3 linked regions of the Drosophila melanogaster genome follow. Each later gene encodes a partner of the first gene's protein in a complex. Each region holds a gene or a part of one and is shown in the gene's direction. Other genes may lie near its edges. The genes, in order: ttm3, Tim17a2 and Tim17b1.

Region 1 (9,153 bases):
CTATTTACGAGCTTGCATGTTGCCGGACACATGGTAATCATATATTTTGGTCATATCTGTGGACCATAAAACCAGCGTTCTTATGTGCCTGTCAATGTGTTGTTTCATGACATTTATTTCGCTTGTTCCATCCCTGTTTTGGACTTGTTCGAAGCTCTGCGTGCAAAAGGAAAATATTTTAGTGTCCATTTAATGTCCAATCTAAGATGAGCTCGTAACTTTTGATCGAATAAACGAGCTAGGGCCCAGAAGCCGCCCATCACAGTCTTTGTGGGTCAAATGTGGGGCAATAGTTGAATCCGAGAAAAGTGGATGGAGGGAAGGATACCGCACTCGGATTAGTCACGCAACCTGGGTTTGCGAGTCTCCGGAGAAAATACTGCAAGACCTCTTTGACTACTGATAAGCAGAAGTTCTGTTTGTACGGTGTCTTCGGTTCTTTTATGGATTTACACTTCCTCCCGAAAGTATTGACTGTTGCTGTGGGAACTCTGACTCAAAAATCTAAAATTTAAATCAAAAGTTACTTATTCGTGGGGACCACGATTACTTGAGGGCCGACGTAAAGCACCTGGCTGTTAAACATTTAACTCGCACAAGCAGGCAGCATCAGTAGCCATGGCGGCTTAGGCGTCGGCCATACGCAATTCACACCGTTTGCGCAGCTCTCGACAATGCCGAACACGAAAGCCATAGCCATAGAGTAGATTTGCTACGGGACACAAGAGACTTGAAATAGGAGTCCTTTTCCAAATCTTTCCAAACCGAGTCCCCATTTATGCGATGACAGACCCTGAGGTGGGTAAACAACAAAATATTTTCAGGTATAGAAGTTATAGAAGAATTGTAGTACCCACTAAAGACATAAAGAAGGGTATACTAGATTCGTTGAAAAGTATGTAACACTCTAATGCTCAAAATCCATCCAACACCTTTTTGCCCGCACCTTTCGAAATTTTTTTCATTTTTTAGTAATCTTGTAAATTTTTATCAATTTTCCACAAAAAAAAATTGCGATGCTCACTCTAACGCCCACAAACCGCATAAAACTGCCACACATTTTAAAAATTTGTTAAAATTTTTTCATTTTGATTCTCACAAAAAGCCAAATTTTTTTTGTTCCCCAATATCTGTCGATATCCCAGAAAAATTATACAATTTCTCGTTCGAATTTCCACTAGCTGAGTAAAGAGTATCTAATAGTCGTGGAACTCAATTCATGGTGTTTTTTTTCATTATTTTTATCCCAAGACTTGCACTTACTATTTACATAATGAGCACTGACCAAAGAAATAAAAAGAAAGAAATAAGAATAAGAACAGAATCCACTCTTGTATACAACCAATGTCCCAATACAACCAATGTCCCATATTCACATAATCAGCAATTTTCACAAAAATTTAGTCTTAAGCTGAGATCAAAAGTGTAGTAGGCTTGAGGTACACATACATAATATCAGTTCATAATAGCAACATAGTATATAAACATTCAGTCATTGTTCGCTTTCGGGTGGCATAGCAACAAGCATAGAGGCAGATCGCAAACGGAGAGGGAGTCAGTCGAATGCTAAAGCTAAACACGTGAAGTATCAAATAAACCAAAGAGGCCAACTCCTGCGTTTGTGTTTTATTTAGATAAGAGGATATATAGTACCCCTACAAAAGAATAGAGACGAGAAAACTATTTTCCGTTCATTTTTAATCTTAGCGTTGTCCTTAGTCCACTGACGTGGCATTAGTTCGCCTCAATAAAATACAAGCATTTCGCCGCCATATAGAGGTCCGGCCGTTTCGTTTACACTAAAAAAATCCGGCTATATTTGACTTTTGGGATGGTTTTTTGCACTTGGCTGTTGATCAAGCACTGATCAAGAATATATATTCTCAAAGTGACTGAAATCAGTAAGGCCCTTTGCACTGGCTTCAAAATGTAAAAGTTTAATACAGAACTGTGATGTGCTGTCAAATGACTGCTGAACAAAATATTGAATATCAGATCCCAGTTACCCAGATAATGTCCCTGAGTATGTGGGTGAGATGTGCAATTAAGAAAGGCACTGCATCCGGGATTGCACACTACTAAAGCGGAGTTGGCAAATTTATAATAAATAACAGAAATTAAGAAAAAAAGTTGAGCCAAAAAATGAGAATTTTTTATGTTTTTGAAAAAAAAAAATAAAAATGATATAAAACAAATTTAGGGGATCAGAAACTTTTTAAGATTTAAGACACGACTGATCTATTCATACATACAAATTTATTTCGCTTAAATCGGATTGCATATAACTAAGTTACAACGTTTCAAACCTAAACAAATAGTCAAACCTATTCAGTTGAGCGGCACTGTATTTGTACATGTACAACCGCGACCAGAAACAGTTTTCGCTTATTCAAATAACTCTTAAGCAGCCAATTTGTCTAAATGGTTTGAAGCTAGACGCCTCTACTGATTACTAGTAAACGTAATCCTTTTTATTGGACTTTATTGAGCTAGTCTGTCTTTTCCACAACATTTGAGTAGCACTCATTTTCGCATAAATTGCGGAACCGATTTAAATACTCCAGCAGACCGAACCAATTTTGAAAAGTGATTAAATTTAACTGGCTAACGAGCTGAACTAGGAAATCAGAAATTATGAACCATGAGAAGGACAAAAGCCAGTATAGCACATAGACGAAGGCAATGACAATGAAGTGGGTATTGCAGGCGGCAGAAAAAGGCGGTACCAGCGAATGGGGATGCAGGAAAGATGGGGAAATGGCAATGGAAGTGGAACTGTAGTTCCAGAAGGACATGTGCCTGCTGACTGCTTAAAATCTGTGCGTCTGCACGCATTACAAACGAATTACGAGACTCGTTGGGCAATTGCAGTTCATTGTTATTTAATATGTCGCCCGTTCAATGGCGGAAGAGACGAAAGGACCAGCAGGAACACCAGGAGCCGAATAGTCAACGAGAACACGGTTGGGAAAATTATACTTTATGGCGCCAGGACACTGGATACCAGCACAAGGGAGCAGCAGACGCAGGCGGCTTGACAGTGATTGCGATACAAACGATTGCCAACGTTTCCAAGTGGATTATTACCTCATGCCAATTATCATATCAACGATACACAGGCACAGGTCTCGGTAAATGGGCAGAAACACACACTGAGCCACACTCGAAAGCGCAGGACACGCCAGGACGTGGCACATTGGCTGACAAGTGAACCAGCCCAAACTTCCAGCGCCCATCGCACTTTACGAGGTGTTGACTGTGTCGGCATCTGGCAGCTTCTGTCGCTCTCTCTCTCTCTCTCTCTCTGTCTCTCAATTGGGCTCTTGCGGAATTGCATGTACAATTTTAAATGGATTTCGATTGTTTATGACAAATCGACTATCTGAACTGGCATTGCTTGATTGCGACCAGCTCCTCTACCTGGTGTCCTGCGTCCACCTGAGCTGCTTATGTATGTACGTTCCGATTTACGATTAAGTCAAATTAGTAATTATATATTCAAAAGGGATGTGAGTGCTGTTCATATTTGGTAAATCAAAAGAAAACACCTCTTTACGAAGTAAAAAGCAAGTGACGAATAAAGCGTTGGATACGGTAATTATAATCAAACAGCATATTACGTACGTATTAATCGGGCTAACAGCTGCTTTTATTAGAGGGCCGGCAACCGTCCTTCCAATTTTCGTAGTCAAAAGGTAACAAAGTCAGCAAAAATTTTGTATGCGTCTAGTCCAAGGTAACATTAATTTTGGCCCTAGGATAAATGGTCCCACCTACGTTCCATCGACCGCTCAATCGCAACGACAAGGAAAGAGAGGGCTGCGATGGGCTCTTCTGAGGGGGTTTGATCGTTCTTCCGAAGATTTTTTAAGTCGACGGGAATTCTGGCCATGCATATCTGTCAGTATGTCTGCCCGGCTGTCTGTTCGTTTGAACGTCTAAATGTCAGAAACAATAAATGCTAGAAAGTTTAGATCATGTCCACGTCATAGACGCAGCGGAAGTTTCTTTCTTCAACGGAGAGCAACAAATATTTTGATAAAAAGTGTCGAATTTAAATAAAATATATTTAAATATATGTATATATTTAAATTGTTTAAATTCTAACTATAGTTTCTGGTTGGGATCGTCACTACTTTTTACCCTTGCGTGATGTTTTTTTTTTCTATGCTAAAATAATGTTTGACTGTAACGTTTCCTCTTGTTTTTATTAAATATATAATTACCACGAGGGTATTTACTTTGGGTATATACAAGTTGTTAGATTCGGTGTTTAGTGCTTAGTGTCTTAAGTCAATAAAAAATAACGTCTAGCTCAAATGCATAAAATTGTTTGGTTTGGAACTTTAAATAAGTCGATTGGCTACATCGGTAAAAAGAAGACCTGTCTTCTGAGTCCATGCGAGAAAATATGCCTGAATTCAGCTAGAAAAACAGTACAGAGATGCGACAAAAACTATTCACCACCAAAGTTAAGAAGAATCAAGAATTTCTATACCTACAGTGTTGTGTTGGGGAGTCTCTTCAGTATAGTCATGTGGGCCATCTATAAGCTGGGCAAGCCCGAGGAAGACCATCGGGGTCCCATAGAAGATGAGTTCAGTCAGCTTCCCTGGTTCCGCCAGTACATAATGAGGATGTGGCACACACTTCAGTATTATGAAAAAATGATGGAAGAGCCCCAGATGGCAAGGCTGCTGCCAAATGTTGTCCCACCGCCGTATATACAACCTCCCTATTCACTGGTGCTGGAAATCAAAGACGTACTGGTGCATCCAGATTGGACTTATCAGACGGGGTGGCGGTTTAAAAAGCGGCCTGGTGTGGATTACTTTCTTCAGCAGTGCAGTCGAAATTTTGAAATTGTGATATATACTTCTGAACAAGGTATGACCGCATTCCCCCTTCTGGATGCTTTAGATCCCTATGGCTACATAAAATATCGGCTAGTAAGAGGTGCCACGGACTTGGTAGAGGGTCAGCATACCAAGAACCTCGATTATCTTAACAGGGATCTGAGCCGTGTGATAGTGGTGGACTGTGATCCGTATACCACTCCCCTGCATCCCGATAATAGCTTGGTGCTCACAAAGTGGCTGGGTAACGATGATGATGTCCAGCTCTTTGATCTCACGGCTTTCCTGCAGTTGATTGCCGAACACCAAGTAAATGATGTAAGGGAGGTGCTGCGATACTATCGCCAATTCGAGGACCCCATGGAACAGTTTAAGGACAACCAACGTCGACTGCAGGAGCAGAGTCAGGAAAGCATTCAGAATTTACCAACTAGTGAACGTCAGTGGAACTTAACTTTATTGGGACGCTCCCTTCGAGGGTCTTCAATCAAATAAATTTTCGTTTATGCACCTTATATCTATTGTAGTAACGTCTTGATCTTGGAAACTAAAAAATCTAGTCATTAATCTAGTAATTTAAATGTTCAAAATTGTTTACCTTTTTTACATTTTATTATTTGTTTTAATTATTTTCATTGTTTTGGCAGTTCGACAACCACAGAGGTTTCGATTTTTATATCCGTTACCGAAGTTTAAATTGGTCTACTAGATTTACTGCCAAGCTAAACACAATTATACCCATTACAGGTTGAGTAAAAGGGTATACTAGATTTGTTGAAAAGTATGTAACAGGGAGAAGGAAGCATTTTCGACTATATAAAGTATATATATTCTTCATAAGGATCAATAGCCGAGTCAATCTAGTCATGTCCGCCTGTCCGCCTGTCCGTATGAACGTCGAGATCTCCGGAACTATAAAAGCTAGAAGGTTCAGCATACAGATTCTAGGGACATTGGCGCAGCGGCTTAACTCGAAAGTACGGCATGAGATAATTTTTATGGAGATGAAGAGCTCTGTAGAGATAAATATATTGAAAGAAATCCTTGAGGGTCGCAGATATAATTACCCGTGAAGCGCATTATATCAAAAACATCTAAAAAATCTATATTGTAATTATTATTGAAAGGCTTGACTGCCATGTGTCCAGATTATTTTATTAAACTGGTAAGCGGTAATGAAACACATGTTAGGTAACAAAGGGACACCCAGAGGGGTCGCCCGATCGCACTGTTGCTGCCCATACTATCCTTTTCGAGGCACTTTACGATGCAAAAAGTTTAAAATTTATGCGAACTGAACCAGGTGGAAAGGGTTTAGCGCTGTAGGAGTCAGATGGACATCCGGAGAGTAGAGCACCACTTTTGTGCTTGACCCCGCAGCAGCCTGCTTAGTCTCTTGACTACCGTTGGCAAAGCCGGAATGGGATGTACGCTTGTATACGTATGTGGTCGCCTCTTCGGTGGTGCGTTGTTATTTTATGGGACCGCCGCCACCACCATTTGCTATGAAAGCATTTCCGCCACCGGCAGCACCAGCGACAAAGCCAAGGAGCAGCATGGAGTCCACTTTAATTTTTGTTTTGTTCATAATTTACGCGACGCAACATCAATTAAGTACTTGGCCGGAAAAGCGCATACCTGCAGCTGAAAAAAGCGGTCATAAATTTGCACCCTAAAGTGTTGGCGAGTGTTGGGGCGCCAACCCGTCCCAAACAGCAACGTACATCCGCCATTCCATACAGGATTCGGACTCTTAAAGAACGCTGTCGTCAGCAGTGGTGGGGGGGGGCGGGGTGTTGTTCCATAAGCAGACCAGATGCAAGGTGCTGTGGCATAAATAACCAACGACCATCCATTTTAGTGTTCGGATCTCGGCGATCCAGAAATATCTAACATTATAGATAATATACATTTTTGGCCGACAGCAACAGCGAACTTTTAACCCGGAGGTACCAGACAACAGGAGATTATTAATCCGCAGAGTATACATAATTCGTTGAAAAGGATGTAATTTTTAATCAGAAACAGTACCACTTCGATCCGGCTATGTCTGTCTGCCCGTTCGTATCTAGGGAACTATAAGAACTAAGAAGTTAAGATTAGGCATATAGGGTCTAATGAACGTTGCCACACCCACTACAATTAATGGTTGTTACTAGTAGATATATGCGAAATAGAAAAATTAAATAAAAGTTGTTGCCAAAGCACATCAAATGGACATCAAATTAAAATTGATACTTTTCAACGAATCTAGCATACCCTTTTCTCTACCAGTAACGGTTATAAATATTACGCTAACGACAAAATTTACTTATTTATTTAACCATTTAATCCTTTCGCAGGATGCGACAATCAAAAAGGTAAACGAATGGTTTGCTGCACCCATCCATTTATTCACGCACCATAAACTAGGCACGCATTAATGTGAAGGGACATTCGGGACCGGTAAAAATAACAAAACAAAGTGAATACTTTCTCGACTATTAGATACCCGTTACTCAGATTGCGGGAGTACAAGTGAGTCGTTCGGCATATCAACAGAAATTCAAGAAATTCAAGAAAAAAATAAAATTTATAATTAAAAACACTACAATTAAAGACAAAACATGTTTTAGTGCGCGTGTGACAGTATTGGGCTGTTTGTGGATTTTTCCTAGATATGTAAATATATATAAATATTTTCAAGATATCGATCGGAATCGTCTATGCAAATGATTAAATCAAAGAACAAGTTCAAACGTATGGGCTACGGAATGTGGACATGTCTAGGTCGATTCGCCTGGTGATCCTGATCAAGAATAAGGTGGGGAACGCATCCATTTACCTGTTATATATTTTTTGACGAACCTGGTGTACTCTTTAATCTACGAGAAACGTATATAATAAATGGGGCCATAAAAATCCAACAGCGGCGAGCTCGACTTTTTTTTCGATTTGAGGCGGAGAAGACCGGAGTTTAAACGGTACCAGAATGCTTTGCGATTAATTACGCATTCCATTTAAAATTGGCCACATAGATAGGTGTACAATAGGGCAGATTTGGGGGCTGCGGCTGCACCGCGACCGAAATATTTTCAACCATTTGCCAGATTTTGAGTGCAGCCGGCGCAACATAGATTTTGGCATTGTCAATGCACTGCAATTTACGCAACAATCGCAATAAACATTGGTTCATTTGTTACGCAATTTATTTATCCTAAGCACTAAAATTTGCCTTTGCAGCCCCCTCCCTCCACGAAACAACACCCCCCCACCACCCTACCGTACACTACCAAAGCAGAAATATTGTTCGTGGGGGTTGCGGATGGTGCATTAAATTAATTACTCATGTTATTATTTTGGCCGAAATGAAGTACGCAGCCATTTATAATGGCAACTACACGAGTTTAGAAGTACCTGCGGCTTCCACCTCGTTCTCATTTAACACACTGCATTCCCAGTTTGTCCTTTGACCATTTTGGTTTGTAAGCCAAAATATATTTGAAAATGAAAATTGTAAAATGTCGACCATGCATGCGTCTGCTTGCAGTTTTCGCTTGTGTGTGATTAACTTATTTTCGAAATATGCCCATAAAACGCATGGCCTGTCTTTTTAGAATGAATTACACAGATTGGAATTTCTACTCGTACTCGTAGAGTAAAAGCGTATGTAACAGGTAGAAGGAATCGTTTCCGACCCTATAAATATACATATATATTCCTGATCATAATCACTAGCTGTGTCGATCGGGCCATGGGCGTCTCTCAGTATGTCCGCATAAGCGCCTCGATCTCAGGAGCTATGAATAAAAGATAGACCGTTAAGATTTAGTGATCAGGCTTCATAGACATTGACGCGCCGAAAGTTTGTTTTCTGATGATTTTATTGGTTTTCATAGTAATAATCAAAATTAGTTCAGAACTAAGCACGGTTTGACGTCGATACAGTGGGCGCGGTCAACATTTTTTTAAAGGGTTCAGACCCCCTCTTGATAAAACCTTAATGTTCCGTGTGCCCGGAAATGAATAAGTTCATCATTTAAGTTTACTTATTCCGAACAGGACCTAAGACATCTAGTTACTGCATTTCGATTAATCCGGTTCCCCCAATTTGGCTCTTATTCTATGGTTGGTTACTGGTCAAGCAATACGAGAATTGGATTTAATCGACCACCACATGAATCAACAGGCGGCTGCAAAAAGCAACACAATCACATCCTCCTAATGCATCCGCCCCCTCCTCCTGTTGCCCCAAAATGGTGCACCACCGAAAGGATGGCCAACAGCCACTTGGACCACCACATCCTGCCCCTTCGTG
Region 2 (12,235 bases), on another chromosome or scaffold:
TTCCCAGAATGGGATGGGGAGAACTATCTGCACGCAACGCAGGAAAGCAAATTCGCTACCGCCAACACATTAATATACGAATTCAAAATCAGCGGCTGTCTAAATATTACGATACACGAAAGACGACATTGACGACCACAAACCAAAACTGTTAACCGGTTTTATTGACATTCGCATAGCCCAAGTTAATGCAAACCATAATTAACAGATTATAAGAGGTGTGAAATCCAGAAGAGAAAATAGTTAATACTCAGCCCGAGAAACAACTATTCTAAAAAAACGAATCCAACACCTAAAATGATGTTCATTGTTGAAAAAGTTTAAAGGAATTTTAAAAAGTAGAATGAGATTTGTATTGTAATAGCAACATCGTTTTCAAAAGCCCCTTAGCTTAAAAACTCTTTTTAAAATTGAAACTTAAAGTTAATTCGGGGAAATTAGATTAGATACCTAAGGGCAATAAATATTTATATCCTTCACTGTCATGTGGACACTCTTAATTCTCTCCTTAGGAGGTTTCCTTAATTATAGCCTCATTTTACATTTGTTCCTTAGGAACTTTAATTCAGTAATTAAAATATCATTACCGCTTGTCCAAAAGTTCCCGAAAGTACTGCTCAGCATTGGCAGGATGTGCCGAGTGTTTAAAAAAGTTTTTGTAGTCCGTGGTCGTGGAGGTTATCATTTTGCCTTGATTAGTCAGCTTGCTTCTCACTGTTATCACAAGAACTCTATTACTCTTGAGACAGCTTTAAGACTGAAGTCCTATCTTTGTATCTCCACAGAGTTATTAGTTGTTGTTGTGCAGAGAAAGGGTGAATTAAGTTCTTGGCATTTGAATTGTTTCAGGATCCTTTTTTAGATACCCTGAATTGGTTAATTACTGTTCTTGGGAGATGACGGGTTCTCAAACGACTCCTCCAGAATTTCACGTGCAACTGAAGGGAGTTTATAATTTGCAGCGAGTTTTATGCGAAGGGGAGCCTCGAATTTTAGAGGGAAAGAGTGCGAGTTATACGTACACCGGCGGTTATATTATATGGTATATAGGTGCAAATGTGTTGGTGGGGAGGTACGTATTATTGCAGTTTGCATTTGTTGGGGCCGGCTGCCTATATATTTCACTTTTCGCTTTGTTTCACTGGCAGATGTTTGTTTTGATTTGACTTTGTTTATGCACAGTTAGTCACGTTTGTGTATTACTCAGCTTCGGTTAACTAATTTAAGTGAAATGTGAAGCAGCTGAACCGAACCGCACTCGTCGCCGTTCGTTTTCCGAATGCGGCAGCTGAGCAGGTCGCTCTCGCTCTTTACCGTTGGTTACGAAGGAGAGAGAGGCAGAGCGTTTTAAGAGCAGGTGAAAACAATCTAGCTATTTTATGGCCAAAAACTAGATTATGAGTGCTCGAATTCTGGTGTGTTAGTCGAACATGTGTTAACGTTTATAAATTAAATGGACATCTACGAGCAATACTTGAGGCATTTAAACCCCAGTTCAAAATTGGCTAAGGTGAACTGTACGTCTATCCCGGATTCGGAATACAATCGTTTAATACGATAACATCAAGATCGTAGAAAAGGTTTAGTTTGGACTACAAATTGTAGTTCGTTTGCTGTAACCAAATTTTTCTAGCTATTTTCTGTCCGCCTCCCAAATCCGTTCATCACTATCTCAGAGCGTCCATGAAACTACGAGTAAATCAGAAAGTTGGGGGCCTGGGAAGCAGCTAAATAATCGAAGGAGAAGCAGCCGCTTAAGGCGATAAGCAGCACCTTGGTAGGTGAGAGCAAATAATGAAAAATACGTACATATTGGTAAAAGGTAAAAGGCAGCTGCAGATAGCGAAAAACCGAACTGAACGTGCAATTTATGGGATCGGATACCCCGCAAGGTTCCAGAAAGCGGGAGGAAGCTACTCGTTCCGCTTGCCCTTCAAGAGAGTTTAAACACTCTCTGCCAAGCCAAACCAATTGCAAACGTAAAAGCGGGGAAAAGCGGAGGCAAACAGTAAGGCAGAAAGACAAGCGCAACAATCGTCACGTAGCCCAGCACACACACCAATGCGCAATTGGCACACGCACATGCGAGCGACCCATACAAACGCAAAGAAGCCACACGCACAGGCGTTAATGCGAGAGCCAAGTGAGTCAGAAAGAGATGGTCGCCAGCGAAGGGAGTGTGAGAAGGTCAGCGATAATGTAGATATTTAAAATGTTTGATACAAATATCTGCTAAAAATGCTTAAGAAACACTAACGAAGATGAGGCACAGAACGGCGGAAGCACGCGGAAGCTAGGCGAATGTGCGAACCAAAGAATTGGGTCAACGGCCCAGTTCAAAGTCGCCGCCAAACAACGTGCACGCAGAGAAATCGGGGAGACCTTTTAAAGCGCCATTAAAATAAAGAAATATCCCAGAAATCTGCCCAACATTCTGTAACCAAGATATATAATATATATAATAATATAATATATATATATAATAAATAAATCAGTCATAAAATTGGTAACGAAAAATATCAAAAGTATCTTATGGAATAGGAATAAAGATTATTCTATCTTCTGTCCTGTCTATACATTATTTATTATTTGGTAATACCCTTGGGCTAACAATAATAATAAGTCCCACACAACCCAGTTTCGAAGCAAAATGGCCACTAAACTGAACTGATTTCTTTTAGTGCAAACACGTTTTCGTGTACATTGTAATGATCGATTGGCGCCCTTTTTGTCTGTGATGTATTACGTGCGACAACGGCGACTGCGGCACGTGTACCACACCAACTCGCAGCCCTTTTGGTGGGCGGAGAAGCACCTGGGAGAGGGGCGTGGCGACGCACACGCACTGAGTGGCAGTCGACCTTGGTGACGTGCGTCTGCCTACGTAGCTCGCTCGGGCTCGCACTGGGTTCGAGATCCATCACTGGGAATCCATCACACAGCTGAAGGAGACCACAGACATGGGTTTACACCCAATTGGAAGTGGATAACATAAATAGAAAAGGGGAACCTTTAAGGAAATCCCTAGGAAATTTACGAATATTTTTAAACTAAATACCATTGCAATAGTTTTATATTTCTAATGTTTCCAATGGTTGCATAGTTCACATCGCAAGATATTCGATCTAAATAAACTTTATTTGATTTAAACTGGAAAGCACTTTCTCTGCTTTCAAAACTACATTTAGACATTCAAGTTCGGAAATGAAAAAAAATGAGGTGAGCAACGCTAAGGTGAATGCATTCTGGCTGAATCTTAGGCAAATCAAAAAGTAGCAGAGCAAACTATCCGCGAATGGATTGATTCCATATTGACTTTTCCTATCAATATTGCTGATTCAAATTGGAATTCGGTGGCGACAAGATGCGGTTTTTTCGACTTTTTCTGTTCATCGAGTTTTGCGCAACCGTATTGTTTGTTTTTCCCAGCAAGTTGCTTGACACATGTATTTTAGCACATTTCTAAACAATGACGGAATTTTGCAAGCCCCTGGAAATGAGATCACGTCGGTCCGACTGCGCTAATTGTTTGATAAAGAACAACACATCCCGCCGCAGATTGAAATCTCGGAGCTAAGGCATTCGCTAAACTCTGATAACACGATTTGAACGATACGCTTGCGTATTCCCGGCACGTAGGCAAAACGCTCCGGACCTCCCGGCCGAACGGACCACCCACCCACTTCGGGCGATAAGAAGGTAGAAAATACTGCACCTGACAAAATCGATTTGCAACAGTAACATAGAAAAATGAAGGCTTTTATTTGTGTATCCAAGTAAAAAGAAAATATCATAACTATCGGGTGGGAAGTTATCTGAATTAGTTCATATGTTGCACTTATTAGCTACAACTGCACATCCAGGAACACAAAATAATTTACTGCACAGTGTGGGGTTGATGATGACTCAGCCGGATTGGCTGAAAGATAAAATTACGAACAAATTTCTATATGTGCTCCGATGTGTGCGGTTCATGTTTGTTGTATTCGTTAATGCCGGGGTGCAAAGCAAAATAAATAAGCGAGTATTAAAGATTTGGACGCAACAAACTGCGCAACAGAATAATTACAAAGTCAGCACCTCCGCCCGGAAGAATGCGAGTCCGGCTGCGATTGCAGGTGCTATCAGATCGGGCATGGGTGCCATATACACTATGCGGCCGGGCACGTAATGCCGAAGGTAAATAAATACTCGACTCGAGAGGTGCCATCTCGGAGCAGAATGTTAGCAATCCGGAGACAGTCAAATCGCAGGGCAATTACGAATCTCATCTGACAATGCGATGAGTTGAATGGGAAAACAAACTGTTTCTATTTTTAAACTTTTACGTCTGAGAATATCGGACAGCCTATGTAGTACGTGCAGACATCAATCTAAAACCAACACCAAGTGTTTGTCTCCTAAAGAGTCCTTTCCTGGTTCCCCATTGGATTGGAAGCTTTACCTTGAACACCTGTAATATTATATCATATGATTTGTGTATACTTTAACAGCAGCAGTTCCAAAATGAGCCATGGTTTGGCTAATACAATTATACTAATTCACCCAAGCGATCTAAGATGATCTAGCAGTGCTATTCAATGTTTTGATTTGTGTTATAGGACCTTTTGCGAGGTAACTAGTATAAGCTGTATATCAACAACCAATAAATCAGCTGCGAAGAAGCTTGAGGATCGCGAAAACCATAAACTTCAGCGCCATATGAGCGATATGTCATCAGCTGTGTCATGTTCTGCTGTTGATTCGTGAGGCTTCTCAGGAGTGGGCACGTAACCGCTTATCGTAATTGACTTGATGTGCAAGTGAAGACGATAGGGGGCTACGAGCAGGAGGATGCACCTAGTGGGGTATATTTGGGGCTATAGATTTCGCTCCGGGACAAACTGCAAACGCAACTTCAAGTGTGCGGTCGGCTAGCTAATCGCGGTGCTTGGTTCAGTTACATTTAATAACTAGTTATCAGGTGAAATCATGGCTAATCAAATTCAAGATAAGCTTGCACCAAAACGTAGAAAATCTATTCTACCGAGTCATTTGGATGTTTTCAATAAGATATTGAAAATAACTCATCAATATCTGAGTGGCATTTTTCTTGTACAAGTTTTTGCTCGATCTATGTACGTTGTCAAGAAACTGTTTACACACTGTGAAATAAGTTGAATTTTTGACTTTAAAGCTAAAAATTAAGGGTTTTTTGCTTAATTAAACGAAATTTTTTTAAATAATATAATTAAACAATATTTATTTTATTTATAAATCAAAAAACAAATTCAAAATATTAAATATACAAGAAAATAAACAACGAATTCCAAGTTTACACACTTTTAAGACTGTCAAGAAACTCTTTACACATTTTGTTTTCCTACTTTGTTTTGTTCTTTTTCTTAGAACGAACTCGATTTTTCCGTTATTTTTGGCTTTGCATTGCTTTTTACAACGCTTCTATTGAAATTTGTTGACTTTGCTTGTGAAATTTTGCTGATCAAACGTGCTTAAAGCGAATTATTAAATTTAATAAAATGCCTGGAAAGAGATTAACTTTTGAAGTTACCCAATTAATAAACTATAACCACCAGTTGGAAAAATCTTTTCCAGAATTAGTATAAATGTTTCCTGTATCCCGTAAGACCGTCTACAATGTTTTAAAAGGCTCGGAAAAAGAGGGCAGGCTTGAACCTAAGAGTGGTGGTGGGCGGAAAATTAAAATTAAAAAGCGTGTAGACTGCTTTATTATGCGAATAGTGATTGCGAACCCCCGAATCTCGGTCAGATCACTTGCTCTAGATATCAGGCAAGAATGTCACCTAGCTGTGTCACACGAAACTGTGCGCCAAGTCATCCTACGCCATAGGTACTCTTCAAGAGTTGCAAGGAAAAACCCTTTGCTATCAGATGCCAATATTGAAAAGCGTCATTTATTCGCAGTGAGCATGATGGATCATGCGGAAGAGTACTGGGATGACGTCATATTTGGTGACGAAACAAAAATGATGCTCTTTTATAACGACGGGCCAAGCAGAGTATGGCGCAAACCGTTGAGTGCGCTAGAAAAACAAAATATCATTCCAACGATAAAATTTGGAAAAATGTCACTGTTGGTTTGGGGCTGTATCACCAGCCGTAGAGTGGGAAAACTAGCCTTAATTGAGGGCACAATAATTGCCGTGCAATATCTAGGAATTTTAAAAAACAAATTTGAAGGCCAGTGCAGAAAAATTTGATCTAGTTAGCAACAACAAGCCAAATTTTATATTTTAAGAGGACATGATCAGAAACATAAAGAGTGCAATGTACGCACCTGGCGCCCTTATAACTGTGGTAAAGTGATCGATACGCCCCCTCAGAGTCCTGATCTGAACCCCATTGAAAATTTGTGGACCTACTTAAAGAAGAAGGTGGCAAAAAGGAACCTAAAACACAACAACAGCTTATGACTGTAATAGTCGAAGAGTGTGAAAAGATCCCGTTTGAATATGACCTGCAAAAACTTGTCCAATCCATGAAAAAAGGGCTTCAACTTGTAGCTAAAGCCAATGGGGAACATACTACATACCAAAACTTTTAAAATTTTAATAAAATAATTTAAAAATTTAGGATTAAACATCGATTTAGTGTTTTGTGTAAAGAGTTTCTTGACAGTCTCAAAAGTGTTTAAACTTGGAATTTGTTGTTTTTTTTCTTGTATATTTAATATTTTTAATTTGTTTTTTGATTTATAAGTAAAATAAATATTGTTTAATTATATTTTATAAAAAAAATGCGTTTAATTAAGCAAAAAACCTTTAATTTTTAGCTTTAAAGTCAAAAATTCAACTTATTTCACAGTGTGTAAACAGTTTCTTGACAAACTGTATATTTCGTTTGTAGGACCATTGGTAAATATTTGTATCTAGTTAGAACGGACGTAAAAGTCGTAAGGCAACATTCTCAAAGTTATGTATAATCTATAAACACACGTTTTTAATCAAAGGCCATATTGGTCAAAAGCTGATAGCACATATTCGCAAAACAAGGAAAGTTCACTACAAATCAAGTTTTGAATTAATTACGGATTCTTTTGGTCAGTACATCACCCGAACATGGAGTACAATCGCCAGCCGTGTCCCATCAGGATTGTAGAGGATTGCGGGTGCGCCTTTATGATGGGCACCATGGGAGGATCGTTGTTTCAGTACCTCAAGGGATTCCGAAACGCTCCGTCCGGTCTTCGACGTGGCTTGCACGGCGGTATAGAATCGGTGAGGTTGCGGACACCGGCCATAGCCGGCAGCTTTGCCATTTGGGGCGCCACCTTCAGCACGGTGGACTGCGTCATGGTCTCGTACCGCCAGAGGGAGGATTCCTGGAACGCGATTGTCAGCGGAGCGGCCACTGGCGGAATTTTAGCCGCCCGGAATGGAATTCGAGCCATGGCCAACAGTGCCTTTGTGGGCTGCCTCGTTTTAGCCATGCTCGAAGGAGCTGGAGCAGCAGTGGCTACGATTTATGCATCGGATGGAGGAGTCAAAGCAGAGGAGTCCCTAATCACTGTTGACCAGCAAATGCAGAGACCCCAGTGGGAGACATCCGTTGCTGATTCGAACCTAACTGGGGCGGAGTTAGAGCGGGTGTTGGATGAATGTCGGGCATACAGGGCACACAACAAGATGCAGCAGCCTATGCGTTCGGACGCAGTGGAGGGTAAGGAACTGGGGCAACTGATGAAGCCAATGCACTCGTTGGTCGATCTGGTAAAGCTGGCCGAAATTGTCTGATAGAAAAGCTTTTAAGGTTTTAAGTCAACCTCCCATGCTTCTTCCAAATTAAGTGTTAATTCGATATTCAGCGTTAATCTTATATTATTTTTAAAAGCCCAGTAGGTACAAGGAATGATTTTCTATCTCATGGAGAATATTTTTCCATCTTCAATAAAAGATCAGCTGATATTTGATTGCATCTAATAAAATACTATGGCACTATGCAGGCTCAAAAGAGCTTCTAAGAAAAATATATCTCTTCTAGCGTGCCACCATGAGCAGTATTATAGTATTATACATTTTTAACTTATGTTTTAGCATAAAACTGTTGAAACTGAAACATCTGACCTGTCCACTGACGACCTACCTTCCTGATCCCATGAAGCTGGCATCCGCCAGACCGATTTGATAGCTGGAGCTCTTTTCGCCATTATGGTGATGATGCTGGTGCTGCTGCTGCCTTTGACCTGTTTCCGTTTCCGCAGCTGCAGCCTTCTCCTGGCTGCCCGGCTGCCCGAGGAGATTCAGCAGGTTGTCTACCTCGGCGGGCCAACTCTGCGCCTGGTGGGCAGGCGTCATCATCTGGGCGGTGGAGCAGTTGGCGCCGGCGCCGCTGCATTCCAGATTGGCAGATGCCACAGCTTGTTGCAGTTGCTGGATCTGCTGCCGCTGCTGCTGCTTATTGTTGTTGCTGCTGTTGAGCTTTTGGCGGGTCAGGAGGCGGCACTCGGTGCGGTGGTCGGGCCAATGGAGATGCTGGTGGGCGGGGGAGCAGTAGTAGACGGCCTTGCACTTGGCGCAGCGCAGTAGTTGCTGCTGAGTGCCGCAGATGGAGCAGCGCGGCGGGTCCATGGCCGATTTGGATGCGGAGTGGGAGCCGGAATGGCTTGCTGAATCCCTGACCTTTCCGCGACCCCTGCTCATTGCATTTTGCGGGAGAGGAGAGCCAAAGGCGACGACCGATTTTAACCTTGACAGCTCTCCCAGCTTTTTTTACCCCACCTCACCTACGCCAACTGAGGCAATCACACACACACACGCTCGCAGATTATGGCTATTTGTTATCAATGCGAATTACGGCACTCGGGCGTTTTAGCCAACATTTCACTTAAGACTGTTTGTGCTTATTTTAATCACGTAGGCCACCGAATTTGCCAAATAAACAAAAAAAAACGCACATACAACGCACACACACAGACGCACGGGCAGCTATATGTGCATTGTTGTTGGTTTTTCCTGCGAGTATTCTCTTTTGTAAGACGTTTTAGGGTTGCAACTTTTAACCCTATTGACTGTTTTATACCCTGCCTTGAGCTCTATTACGCCCCTTGTTTATAAAAACCGCGTAAACTGTGCAAAAAAAGGGAAAAATTCTTAACTCAGCACTAAAATTTCTTTTTGATAGCGATGGGCGTCGACCGATACTTAGCGTGCAGCGATTGACATGTACTCGTTGTACAGCACTATTACCGGCGGGCAGTAGGTATCGATAGCTGAACGAGCCAACGTTAGTGGTGATTATTTTATACTGGCACTTATATACTAACGGTAATCAAAGCTTTTTATTTCGCTATTTTTATTTACTAGCTTTAATATTTAATTGCACAAGATTCGGAAACAAAAAGCTATTGGGAAAATTAACTCAAAGCGGCCATTAACCCCATAAGAATTACTTTAATACAACTTCAGTCGATCGTTTATCAATTAAGCAAGGTCTCTAAGAATGGCAAATACCCTTATCGTCTATTCCAATACATTTATATATATATATTTTAAAGTCGATAGTCGATAGCGCGATGTGCCATCTCCATTATCAAAACTAAACAGATGCTGGGCGGAAAATCAACTGGTTCCTCGTGATAACTTAATCCCACTAATAAGCGCAATGTCGTCCAGTGAACGAGTGGCCAAAGTGGTGCTGGTGGACATCGAGGGCACCACCACTTCGATTAGCTTTGTGCACGATGTCCTGTTTCCCTACGCCAAGCAGAATGTGGAAAAGTTCCTGAGGGATTCGTGGGAAGAAGATGATATAAAGCGTATTGTCCAGGATCTACAGCAAGTGCCCCAGTATGCGGACTACAAGGCCCTGTTAAGTGGTCCACCTACGGAAGTGGATGTAGATCTGATTGCAGGCTTTGTGCGCTATTTAATTGATCAGGATCTGAAGGTCACGCCAATGAAAACGCTGCAGGGCTTGATTTGGGCGCAGGGCTACGCTAATGGAGAGCTGAAGGGCCAGTAAGTTCCCCATTCAATATTCTCCTATCATGGCCATATAAGTTTTACAATCTGAACTCTAGAAGGTTATCAAAGAAAAGGCTTACTTAACGTCTGTTCCCAAAAATAATTTGGGTGTCTTTCTGAGATCCAATTATACAGCTTGGTGATTTTTTAAATATGTATGCTAGCTATATTCTCCGCACGGGAATGTTTAACTTTTGCTGATTTCAATAGTTATCAGATAACATTCAACATAGTAACCAAAAGTACAACGCAACAACTCATTATTATTGATAATTAATTAATTATCTATAAATGTTATTATAGTGTATACGAAGACGTCCCTGCAGCTTTTGAGGCTTGGCGTGCTGCTGGCCTCCAGATTGCAGTCTACTCCAGCGGCAGTGTGGCTGCCCAAAAGCTGATATTCGGTCATAGTTTGGCCGGGAACCTGCAGCCGTACTTGAGTGCTTATTTCGACACCCATGTGGGCCACAAACAGGAACAGCAGTCCTATAAAAACATTGCCAAGCAATTGAAGGAGGACCCGAAGCAGATACTCTTTCTCACGGATATTCCAGGAGGTGAGTGGCTGATCCACACGAATCCTCATCCGTAACATTTTTAATGTGAAATTATATTTTAGAAGCGGCCGCCGCTCGCTGTGCGGGCTTGCAAGCCATAATTCTGAAGCGTCCTGGAAACGCCGCCCTAGCAGACGATCAAAAAACTGGATTCGAGTTGATTCCGGACTTTAAACCACTTCACAACCTGAAAGTTCCGGTCAATAAATCCCAGGCTTAGGTCATTCCAAAAAAGTATACATATATTGTGACTATGTGCTTGGGAATTAGGTGAATCTCTAGAGGAAAGCTCGATCTGCGCTGCACAGGTCGTCACCGCTGTCGTGGCTGGGCGTCTCGGTCGTGAGCCCCTGCGGCCGTCGTTCGGACCGCTTGCTTCGTTGAGACTGCCTCGAACAGGACTTTTCTGAGCCATAGACCTTACGCAGTTGCTGCAGCTTAGTATCCGCATCGGGAACAGGAAACTCTGACTTTTTCTTCCTACGTTGCCGGCTCCCCTCGCACGAATGACGCAGTTCCTCGGTCCGGCAGGTGTGGGTGAGCTTGCCCACTTCTGGACCCCAGAACGTGGGTCCTTCCAGAAGAAGGGGAGCGGATTTGACCCGTTGACGCATCATCTCCATATGCAGTTCGTACTGACGCTCCTGAAAAGCCTGCTCTGCCTTGCGAGTGGCCAACCGAATGGATAGCAGTGCCTTGTGGGATTCGCTAAAGAAAGAACACTGAATGTGTGCGAAACTTAATATTTGGTGAACTACTCACTTCAAGGACAGTGATTTCCAAGCCGGCGTTTTCCTCACCTCCCAATCGAATTGCGGACGAGGATCATGATAAGTGCAGTTGTTCTTCAGCTCCTTAACCTTCTTCCTAGATACTTCAGCCCTCAAAGTTGCCGCTAGATTAGGACGAGATACCGGATGCAACGGGGACACACTGGGCGTTCTCCTCTGGACCGGTTCCTCCGGCAACTCATAGATGCTCAGCGGTGGTAGTGGCTTCTCATCCTTTACGCTAGACCCTGGCTTTGGTTTCCTTACTCTTCCGCGTCTTCCTCGACCTCTTGCTGCGCTGGAAGCACTACTACTTCGCTTCGACGAGGTGGTGGGTGATTGAATCTGTATCTTGGGAATTTCCTCCTGCTTGCTGAGTGGGAAATAGTTGCTTCGCGCAGGCTGAGCTAGTTTGGAAGGCTTCGAATGAGCCTCTAAGGCAATCCCTTGAAGATCATTGACACTAAAGCACCTGCGCAGCATTTCCCTTCGGCACTTGGCCCGTTCTGCCGTGTGCTGGCCAGGATTGGCAGTCTTCTGGCAGCGGTTCTGCGTCTGACTTTGCTTGTTGGTTTGTGTTTGAGTTCCGTTGCTGCTCGTGGACTTTGGCCTGCGGAACTCCGCTTCGAAGCTCTTAAGGGACCTCTTGAAATCCGCAACCTCCACTGCAAAGTCCTCCTTAAAACTTTTCAGACGACTCAAGTCCCTGAGGCACTGGTCGTACTCGTCGCTTAGACAACTGGAATTGGGAGTATGGACAACTGGGCGGGTAGCGCATCTATCCTGTTGGCCGGGGATCACTAAGATTGCTGGCGGAGGAACAGGATCCAGCACCAAAGGACGTTTCTTTATCTTTTTCCCCTTGGAAGGCCGCTTTTTAGACTTTCCATGACCCACAGAACAGCTGCTGACACTGGCACTT
Region 3 (8,989 bases), on another chromosome or scaffold:
CCTCGAGTATGTCTGCAAGGAGCGGCATTTGGTTAATATCTTTGCTGGCTAGGTGGCTGCAAAAACGCCATTTAGTTATTATATTATATTAGGGGCAAGTGATTTTCGGGTACTATTTTGCTGGGCTGTGATTTTATCAACTACACCCGTGGCCGCGATAAGATTGTGAAAGCAAAATTGATATATGGGATAGTTTAAACTAAATCTACGCCTTGTGACCCCCTTTGTTGTTCTAGGTGTTACGACCAGTGAATGGGAACGGCATTATAGCGCTTTTCCTAGGTAGTTCGGCGTGTAAGGTGATGTCGTAAAGATATTGCCTAAAGGGTGTAGCTTTTGCATAGGGTCATGGGATGGGAAGAAATGTTATACATTATACGACTTTCGAAAAGGGCTTTTTAATAGTTCCGACTAACTGGGTGGTAGTAAGTTTTAAATTTAACAGTGTAATTTCTAGTTTCTAGCTCGAAACTACAATAGTTATGATGCCTTTTGAATCTATTAGTGCAACTTCTTTATCATCCATAACCGAGATTCGGTTTCCTGGGACATGGACAACGAGACCCTTGCTTGACCGAAGGTTATACTTTCCGGAATATCTGGACCTTCAAGGCCAGGAGTTTGTCAACCGCAATTAGCACTTTTTCACAGATCGGAGCGACAACAAAGGTAGAAAATCAAACAATAACCTCCATTGCGCCAGAAGACAGCCGTGTGCATGCTGAAACTTAGAATATCGAGTACGTCCGGGCGCACTCTACGTCGTGGATTATCCGGCTCTCAGTACGTGGCTTTCGGCACTCGACCGATTCGATTTTATAGCCTTTTTAAAGTGAGAAACAGCGGAAAAACACGTTCTATGAAACAGTCAACATTGGCCAGCAGTGTGACCGCAGCTCGGTTGTTTATATATACCTCATAGTAATGGAATATACTAAAAAGTTCTCGTCTAAAGTAAGGTTATTCATGAAACTGCAATGCTGTTTGTGGAAGAAGTGGCGCCAAAAATCTTAAAGTTATTACAAAATGTGGCCAAACATTAATTTGCCATCTGAAATTAATCAATTAACATATGCACATACCTTTTCTGTATTAAATAGCTGAATAAAGTTACTTTAAAGTTAAAGCTAGCCCTGAGACTAACTTCTTCTTGTAATTATAGCAATTATATATCAATTTATATACTAAACATTTTTGAGGGCTTCAAATGTTCAATAGTTTTCCAAATTAGTTTAGTTTTTACAATGTAATAAACATAGCCGCTTTTCGCAGTTGCTAACAAAACATTATTAAGAAGAACTAATTAAAAAAAAAACTAAAATCAAATAAGCGATATGTACAGTTAATTGCGCATCTGGATATATGATAGTATGCAAATGTTTGGACTTCTCTAGTAAATGCGACCCAAAAAGCGATGGAAGAACGCAATACGGAGTTTCTCAAAAAATGTTGGCACATGCATGTAAAAAGCTCGTGAAAATGAAAATCTCAAGCGGCGATGATGGCAAACGCTTCACTATCGTCGCACCAATTGCACCATTTCCACGGAGCAGCGCCTGGGTTGGCTTCCGTTCTTACCTTTCTCGCGGCTCTCGTCGCCGGACAACTTGCGCTCGACCGGACTCGATTTGCCGGACAGGCTGGCACCGTCCGCGTCGTGGGTGGAGCTGCTGGAGGCGTCGTCCTTGGCGCTCTTGTCCGGCACCAGCAGCTGCTGGCCCGGATAGATGAAGGAGCTGTTCAGCCGGTTGAGGTGGGTCAGCTCCGAGGGCGTGGTGTCGAACCGGGCGGCCACGGAGGTCAGGGTGTCGCGATTGCCCACGGTGTAGGAAATGGTGGGTATGGTGGGCAATGAAGACTTTTGCCCTGCGGAACGAAAAGAAATCATAATTAATAATGGCATCGTATCGCTGGAGGTACGTGCTCGCAGTTCTTTACTCGGAGGATCGTGCTTCTTCGGGGCACGCTGCTGGAAGACCTCGAAAGAGTCGCCATCGGGTCGCAAGTGCGAGCAGATCACACCTGTGGGCGGAACCTGCTGCCGGCAGTGGTAGATAACCGAGAACTCGTTGGTTGGCATGTGCCAGTATATCTCAATCAATTCCACCATTTCTAGCCCTGTATCATACGGTTTTTTTGTATCGTTAAAACTGCGGGCTCATCAGTTTTCTCGAACTGTCACAATTACATTCATACATGTAATCAACTATCAGCGCTGTTAGCTTTGGCGCGCACTTTCAAACGGGAGGTGCGATAAGAATTTGTTTATAGGTACCCCCCGGTTGGCGCACAATTCCCTGAATCAACTTCAAACTAATGCCAGTAAGTAAGTATGTTTTTTTTTTTAATGAAAATTATTTTATGATTATGTTAAGAATGCCTCTGGTTTAGGCACTAAAATTGAATGTAACGCGCAAAGTACAATCTGTTCTGATATATCGGAATCGGAATACTGTAGAATTAAAAAAAAAAACACCCTTTTTGCTAGCTGATTTGATTCAATATGTACACTTTTCTAATAATACATCGATTTTACATAGAGTGTGAGCATGAGCGACACCTGGCGGCAGAATACCCTAGCGTTGACTTGAGGAACCTACGAGTTCTACACAAATTTTACATTCATATTACATATAAGTTTAAATTGAACTATTTTAATTGAAAGTGAGTGGATACAGGGGGCTTAAGCCGGGGTTCAGCAAGGATCCTTCCCGAAATAAGTATTTGTTTTGAGAAATACAAAATGATTTTCATATAATTCTGCATCCATCTGCTGCCCTAACCAAAGATTCTCCATCGGTTTAAGTCTGTCTAATTAAATTATACTTATTTGAATAGTGACTTACTTGATAATTTGTCGACGCTCTCGAAGCGCTGCTCCACTTTGGAGCGGAGCGAGTCCAAGTCGAATGGAGCCGCAAGGCCGTGATCCACGCTGCGCGATTTGCTCCTGGAAAAGTGGGAGAGTGGTTGTAAATCGGTTGGGAATGGAATATTTGGGCTTGTAGCGATCGGAGCGCAATCTGTTGCGATCCTTATCACTTACAAATTTCCAGCTCGAATTGTGACCATAACCGGGTAATAACAATTTATTTATTGGCAGCCCGTTTGCCTTTTTTATTCAACCTTTTTGTTGTGCAATTGCTATCGTTTTGTAATGATTATCTTGACGATCAGCGAGTGTCCAAATACGGCAAAACGACGCATTTTAAATGTTTTTTTAAACGGTTTTTGATCTGTTTTGTTTTTTGTTAGATCAGCCTTTAAACAATTGGCGAGAAGTCACGATTTTCATGTGACTTGTCCTTAGGTGTTCGATAGAATTAAATCGGAAAAGTATGAAGTATAAGTAATTTGTAAGGAATAACACACGTGTCGAGTGCTTCTAATTACTGATTCTAATTTTAAAATGTAATTTTTTCTATTTGCTTTAAAAGTTTTTTAATGAAACTTTGAATTGAAAATCGCTCTCAAGGAGGCTTTGACTTGTCCATCTATTCTGCTGTGTGTGTCTGTCACCCCATCAATTTTATCGACTGAACTCTCCTGAGTCCGATAATCAACTGACATGGCGGAGTACGGTCGGGAGCCTTGTCCCTTTCGCATTGTCGAGGATTGTGGTGGAGCCTTCGCAATGGGCGCCTTGGGCGGAGGAGCCTTCCAGGCGATCAAGGGCTTTCGAAACGCCCCCTCCGGCCTGGGATACCGATTGAGCGGAGGATTGGCGGCGGTACGGGCTCGATCCGGCCTGGTGGGTGGTAACTTTGCGGTGTGGGGCGCTACCTTCAGCGCCATCGACTGCTCACTGGTTTACTTCCGGAAGAAGGAGGACCCGTGGAACGCCATAATTAGTGGAGCAACCACCGGGGGCATTCTTGCTGCTAGAACTGGTGAGTTTTAAAGTTTTTTTTTTCAGACAAATGCATTAACAATTAGTAAACCAGGCTGGTTTTCAATGCTTTCTCAGGACTTTTATATCCTTATATCCTTTTTGCCTTGTTTTTCTTTCTGCTTAACTTTATGGCTATTATCGCACGAATATGCGAATATTTACTTTTTTGCTTATTCCTCTTTTTGGCAGGACTAACCTCCATGCTCAGTAGTGCCTTGGTGGGCGGGGCTCTATTGGCCCTAATAGAGGGCGTGGGCATTGTGGTGTCCCATTATTCGGCGGATTCCTACCGCCAGGTGTCGCCCGTGGAGCGGCAGCAACGGTATAAGCAGGAGCTTTTACGGCAGCAAAAGGGCGTTTCTCCACTCGCAGCGACTTATGGAGAGGTAAGTGAAATCCCCTGCGCAATAATACGCCTCAATAATTCCGCCACTCACACTCTTTAATTCCAGATTGACTCTTCGGCATTGTAGAATTCTTCGCTGCGTCATCGCCTAGTCGTCGCTATCCATCCGCGAACGCGTGGATCGACGATTGCATACCAATTTATAAAAGATTGCTTTGATTGTTCGAATCTGATACTGGCGGCATTCCCATTTCAATTTAAATTCAATTGTCGTACAGTGCAAGTTTTAGAATCATAAATATATTTTGCTTCGGCATATTTATATAGACAGTCTGAAGTCCAGCCGAAGTGTGGTGGCTTTTTGGGAGGCGCGTGTGCTTCAAAGCTCCATACTTGAAATTCCAAACTTATTTGGGGTTTCCTCCTACAAAACTCCTTTGATCAAGCCAGAAACTCGAACCTTAATATATCTAAGCCTAAATATTCCACTTTATAATGCTTGTTTCTGCACCCGTGGAGTCAGTGGATTCTACTAGATTCCTAGAAAAGTGTGTAACAGACAAATGGATTTTATTTATTTTGTTTTTGTCTGCTACTTCAATCGATATGCCAACAACATATTGAAGTTTCTCACTAGCTAAATCAAGGGTACTCTACTATATATCATTAGATTTTCTTAAGTTACACTTTGAATCGTTCCTTTTTTTTAAAAGGTTGCTAGTGCTTATCTTTATTAAAACATCTCTTCTGCACTACATTCCTCTTTCTGCACTCACATAAGAGCAGTTTTCCCTATTATTGCGTTCCCGTTTGATTGGCAAAACTAATTTCCGTTACGATTTCGGGCGGGAAAATAGGGTTTCCTCTGCCCAGATAGTTGTATCACCGTGACAATGTGAATGTGACAACCAAGTACCCGAATCGTCAGGAGGGGGCTATTCATAAGCTTGAGTATATGAAAGCCTCTTTCTGTCGATCAAGGAACCCCTCTTTGGCTTCCCCCTGAAAATAATAAAAGTTTATTTGCGCGTGTCTTTTCACTGCGTTGCCAATTAGCGCAATTGGCGATAACCATAATTGAATATCAATGATAAAAAATAAATACGCGAGCGCGTAGAATAATTGCGGACTGGAGTTTTCAGCTGGCAGCAGGCGCATGCAAAGTGCCTTTGTTCGCAAATAAACAGCGGCGGCAGCAAATACTAAATAATTATTTAACGCATATTTGTCGCCATCAGCTATTTGCCTTTCCCATTTTTAATTCATAGCCATATTTACCCCCGTTCGCCAATGAGAATTTTCCATGGAAAGTCTTCAAGTGCCTGGCTGCGCAGCTGAAAAAACCTTTCGTGCTCGCCGTTTTCTAGGCCTTTTCGCGTGGAAAACCATTGCAAAAACAAGAGCCTGGTTGAAACAACTGTGTTTGATTTAAGTTGGCCACATTTGATGACGACCACGTTCCGAGTTATTGAGTTCAGACGGCGAAATGGCAATGGAATCCATTTGCACAGTTGGCTTTCGCGCTCAAATGAAATGGATAGGTACATATTTTGTCTTTGTTCGGCAAGCAAACATGAATAATTATTAAATAATTGTAAATGACACAAATATTATGTTCGGAGGCCGTGAATTTATTTTTCGCATTCTTCTATTTTTCTGCCAAGAAGGTCAAATATTTCGAATAAGCTAACATTTCTAACAGATTAAAATTGCTTCTTCTTTTTCCAACAACTAATTCTCAACAAATATGTACTATTCATATTTCAGCGACTATCTTATACTTATACTCGTATAGTGTAAAGAATGATTATAGGTTAAGACATCTTTTTCATGTTGTGTCACTGAGCAATTCCCAACCTCTAACTGTGCTAATCACTGTAACTAATTGCCAGCCAGTAGTTTAACTGCTATAGACACGCTTCCGCATTAACCAGTTGGACACACAAAATAGAGGATAAAATGAAACATCTTATTCATCATATGTATATATAGTTGCCCTTACTAATCCCCTGATGTTCTCCATACCACAAGTATCTCCAGAAGTATCCGCAATGCGACGAGTCACATTTGGCCAGAGGCTCTTGAGCAATTGAAAGCCGAATGGAAGTCATTCAGGGCTCGATCGCTGGCTCATACGTACATTCATACGTACATAGGTACATACAAATATCTTATCGCTCTTGTGCATTGTTTACCTTCGGGAATGTGGCCCTGGGCTACGATCAGTGGCATGAGCACCGAAAAAACAAAAGTAGCAGTAGCATTTTACTGGCACAGTTCCACCGAGCCAACTGTGTGTCAACAACCCACGGGGGTGTTACCCACAGTGCTTACATTACGCATCGAATGGCAGAATGGCAGAATGGCAGACAAGCCGAAGTGAACTGAGCGAGTGACTCAGTTTTCGCTACGTATACGTAATGTGCGATGCACGCACACATAATGTGCAATATTGGTGATTATTGCATATGTAAAATTGAAAATAAAGAGATTGTACTTTCTTATGTTCCACGTGACTCACCAAAAGGTTGCGACCTCTTCTTGGGATAGGCCTGGAGTATTCGCATCCTAGCAAATCTATTTATTATCACAATGGAACACATACTCTCACTTCGACTGCCTTCGAAACTGCCTTATCTCACACCCCTCAAACCGCCGATTTAATCTGTGAACATCAATCTGACATCACTTGAACATCAGCCATTTATTTACGCTTATACGCGACTTATATATTATCAGAATTCGTTAATAAGACGACAGCGAACATTAAGATAATCTATAAACAATCTATAATTTGAACACTGGTCGCTCTCGCCTTATAAATTATCAATATTTGCGGCCTGCCGTTTTCGATTTCGATTTAGATTTAGTTTTTTGCCCGGCTTATTTACAGACCGCAAAAATAATTTAATGCGGCAATGGTTATGGTCACAATTCGCTGGAAGTCAAATTTATCGTTATTTCTTAGATCTACGAATGGGTTATCAAATGTGGGTTAGACTTAAGTCGGGCCATGCACATGCACAACATGCAACATAGATACATAGATACACATAGCATAAGGTGGCTTTATAGTTATGTCATGCAGGTGCGTCACAGGCTCTTTCTACAATACATATGTACATATGCACATGCTATGTACTCTGGCTCATTTGCATTTGAATGGACGGGTGTTTTGGTGAGGGAGGCGGTGGTGGGAGGTAGTTGGGTGGACTTAGGCGGAATAGTTAGGTGTTAGTTGCAACTTACCTGCGCACGGGTATCGCCAAATTGTCAACGCTGCGTGACAAACTGGAAACATCTTGACTAGCCCTACGTGACCTGGCACGTTCGCAAATCATAAGGAGCACATCGGGGCAGGCGAACAAAACCAATTAAACGGCAAAGTGTGCCAAAACAAAACGGGAGGTCCAAAGAAATAAACGGAGAAACAATAAGGTAAATAAAAATGTGTAATTACGAAATGGTAAATTCAAAATACACGCTGCAGCGAAACTCGTTAAGTGTATCTCGCCTAATCGCGCGGGTTTAACAAATGCCAATTTACGGAATGCACACGTACCGTTGGGAACTCAACGATCCCGATCCCGATCCCAATCAAAATCCCAAGCCCTCCTGTCGAATAGCTATCCATCTGCCACTGGATAGTTTCATGGATATATGTGCTATATAAGTATATAGTAGATATTGCTTTGGAATCGTCACGTCCAGAAACGAATCGAGTGGGTTCGTGGAAATATATGAGTGAGAATAGAGGAACACACCTGCCTTATTTCTCTTCCTTTTCATAAGTTTTCAACACCATGCTACTTGAGTTGGTATTTTCCGTGGAAAGTTAAAAAGTTAGAATTGCTAAGAATCAGTGCTCACTAAAGTGCTTCTCAAGAATTACCATTTATATGCAATCAGTTGATACTATCAGTTTGATTCTACGCACTCGAAATCTCGTTGAAAACAATGTCCAACCCGACGTGCGAATATACTATGGCTTGTCAAGGGTGAACACTTTATAGACCGATATGATATGAGTGCAAAGAAAATTCCCACAATTCGCGACTATTTCAGTTGAGATTGCCAGAACTCAAGGTTTCGCATACGAAACACCCGAAAGTCTATGATGTTTGCCACGGTCAAAGCGTTTGGCATAGACAGTTTATCTAAATTTGGGGCAATTTTAAGCAGTGAAAATTAATGGGAACTCGCCACGAAAGGCAATTGTTCAGTGGGGCAGTGAAATGGCCAGACACTTTGACCGAATGAAAACGGAAAAGCACTACTAATTGAACAGGCAATTGATAGGTTGGTCTGAAGCCTGTAAATGCTTGTAATAATCAAGCATTATTATTTGAAGTAGTCGTATTTATGGATCGTGTTTGCTACCTTCAGTTTCCAAAACTTGTAGGTTTGGTCAAGGTCTAACAACGCCAAAAAGGCGAATCTCAATGAGCAAACAAAGGAATATTGGGATGGCAGAGTGGGGAATGTGATTACGTGCTCAAGATCATGTTTATACTGCCTAATTGTAATGGTCTCCGGTCTTCAGCTCACCGGAAGTTGAGTAGTTTTATCGTAAGACTTACTTTTGGATCTTACTTTACAGTGAGTCTAATGATCTTCGAGTTAAAGATAAGTATTTAGTCCGCATTTGTGAATGACCTCAATTTGCCATCTCGACTCACCAAAATGTTTGGCATCTAATCGAAAGATCGGGATCTTATCGAAACAGTCATCATAAAGATACGAATTCAGAG

Evidence for each region.
Region 2: ttm3 (region 1) and Tim17a2 share a complex: the UniProt entries of both Drosophila melanogaster proteins name them as parts of the TIM23 complex.
Region 3: ttm3 (region 1) and Tim17b1 share a complex: the UniProt entries of both Drosophila melanogaster proteins name them as parts of the TIM23 complex.

Annotation. Positions count from the first base shown.
Region 1 is NT_033779.5:22,075,369-22,084,521, forward strand, and holds ttm3 (tiny tim 3), read left to right. Parts: upstream 1-4,263; 5' UTR 4,264-4,319; coding exon 4,320-5,351; 3' UTR 5,352-5,370; downstream 5,371-9,153. UniProt on the Drosophila melanogaster protein: Essential component of the TIM23 complex, a complex that mediates the translocation of transit peptide-containing proteins across the mitochondrial inner membrane.
Region 2 is NT_033777.3:5,253,990-5,266,224, reverse strand, and holds Tim17a2 (Tim17a2), read left to right. Parts: upstream 1-3,532; 5' UTR 3,533-3,699; intron 3,700-7,065; 5' UTR 7,066-7,079; coding exon 7,080-7,754; 3' UTR 7,755-7,889; downstream 7,890-12,235. Other genes in the region: Hph (HIF prolyl hydroxylase), read right to left, coding at 8,104-8,660; Enoph (Enolase-phosphatase), read left to right, coding at 9,622-9,977, 10,287-10,543, 10,606-10,763; CG1113 (uncharacterized protein), read right to left, coding at 10,822-11,251, 11,306-12,235. UniProt on the Drosophila melanogaster protein: Essential component of the TIM23 complex, a complex that mediates the translocation of transit peptide-containing proteins across the mitochondrial inner membrane.
Region 3 is NT_033777.3:5,296,624-5,305,612, forward strand, and holds Tim17b1 (Tim17b1), read left to right. Parts: upstream 1-3,521; 5' UTR 3,522-3,568; coding exon 3,569-3,890; intron 3,891-4,081; coding exon 4,082-4,278; intron 4,279-4,344; coding exon 4,345-4,365; 3' UTR 4,366-4,563; downstream 4,564-8,989. Other genes in the region: mtd (mustard), read right to left, coding at 1-12, 1,579-1,866, 2,847-2,950, 7,488-7,559. UniProt on the Drosophila melanogaster protein: Essential component of the TIM23 complex, a complex that mediates the translocation of transit peptide-containing proteins across the mitochondrial inner membrane.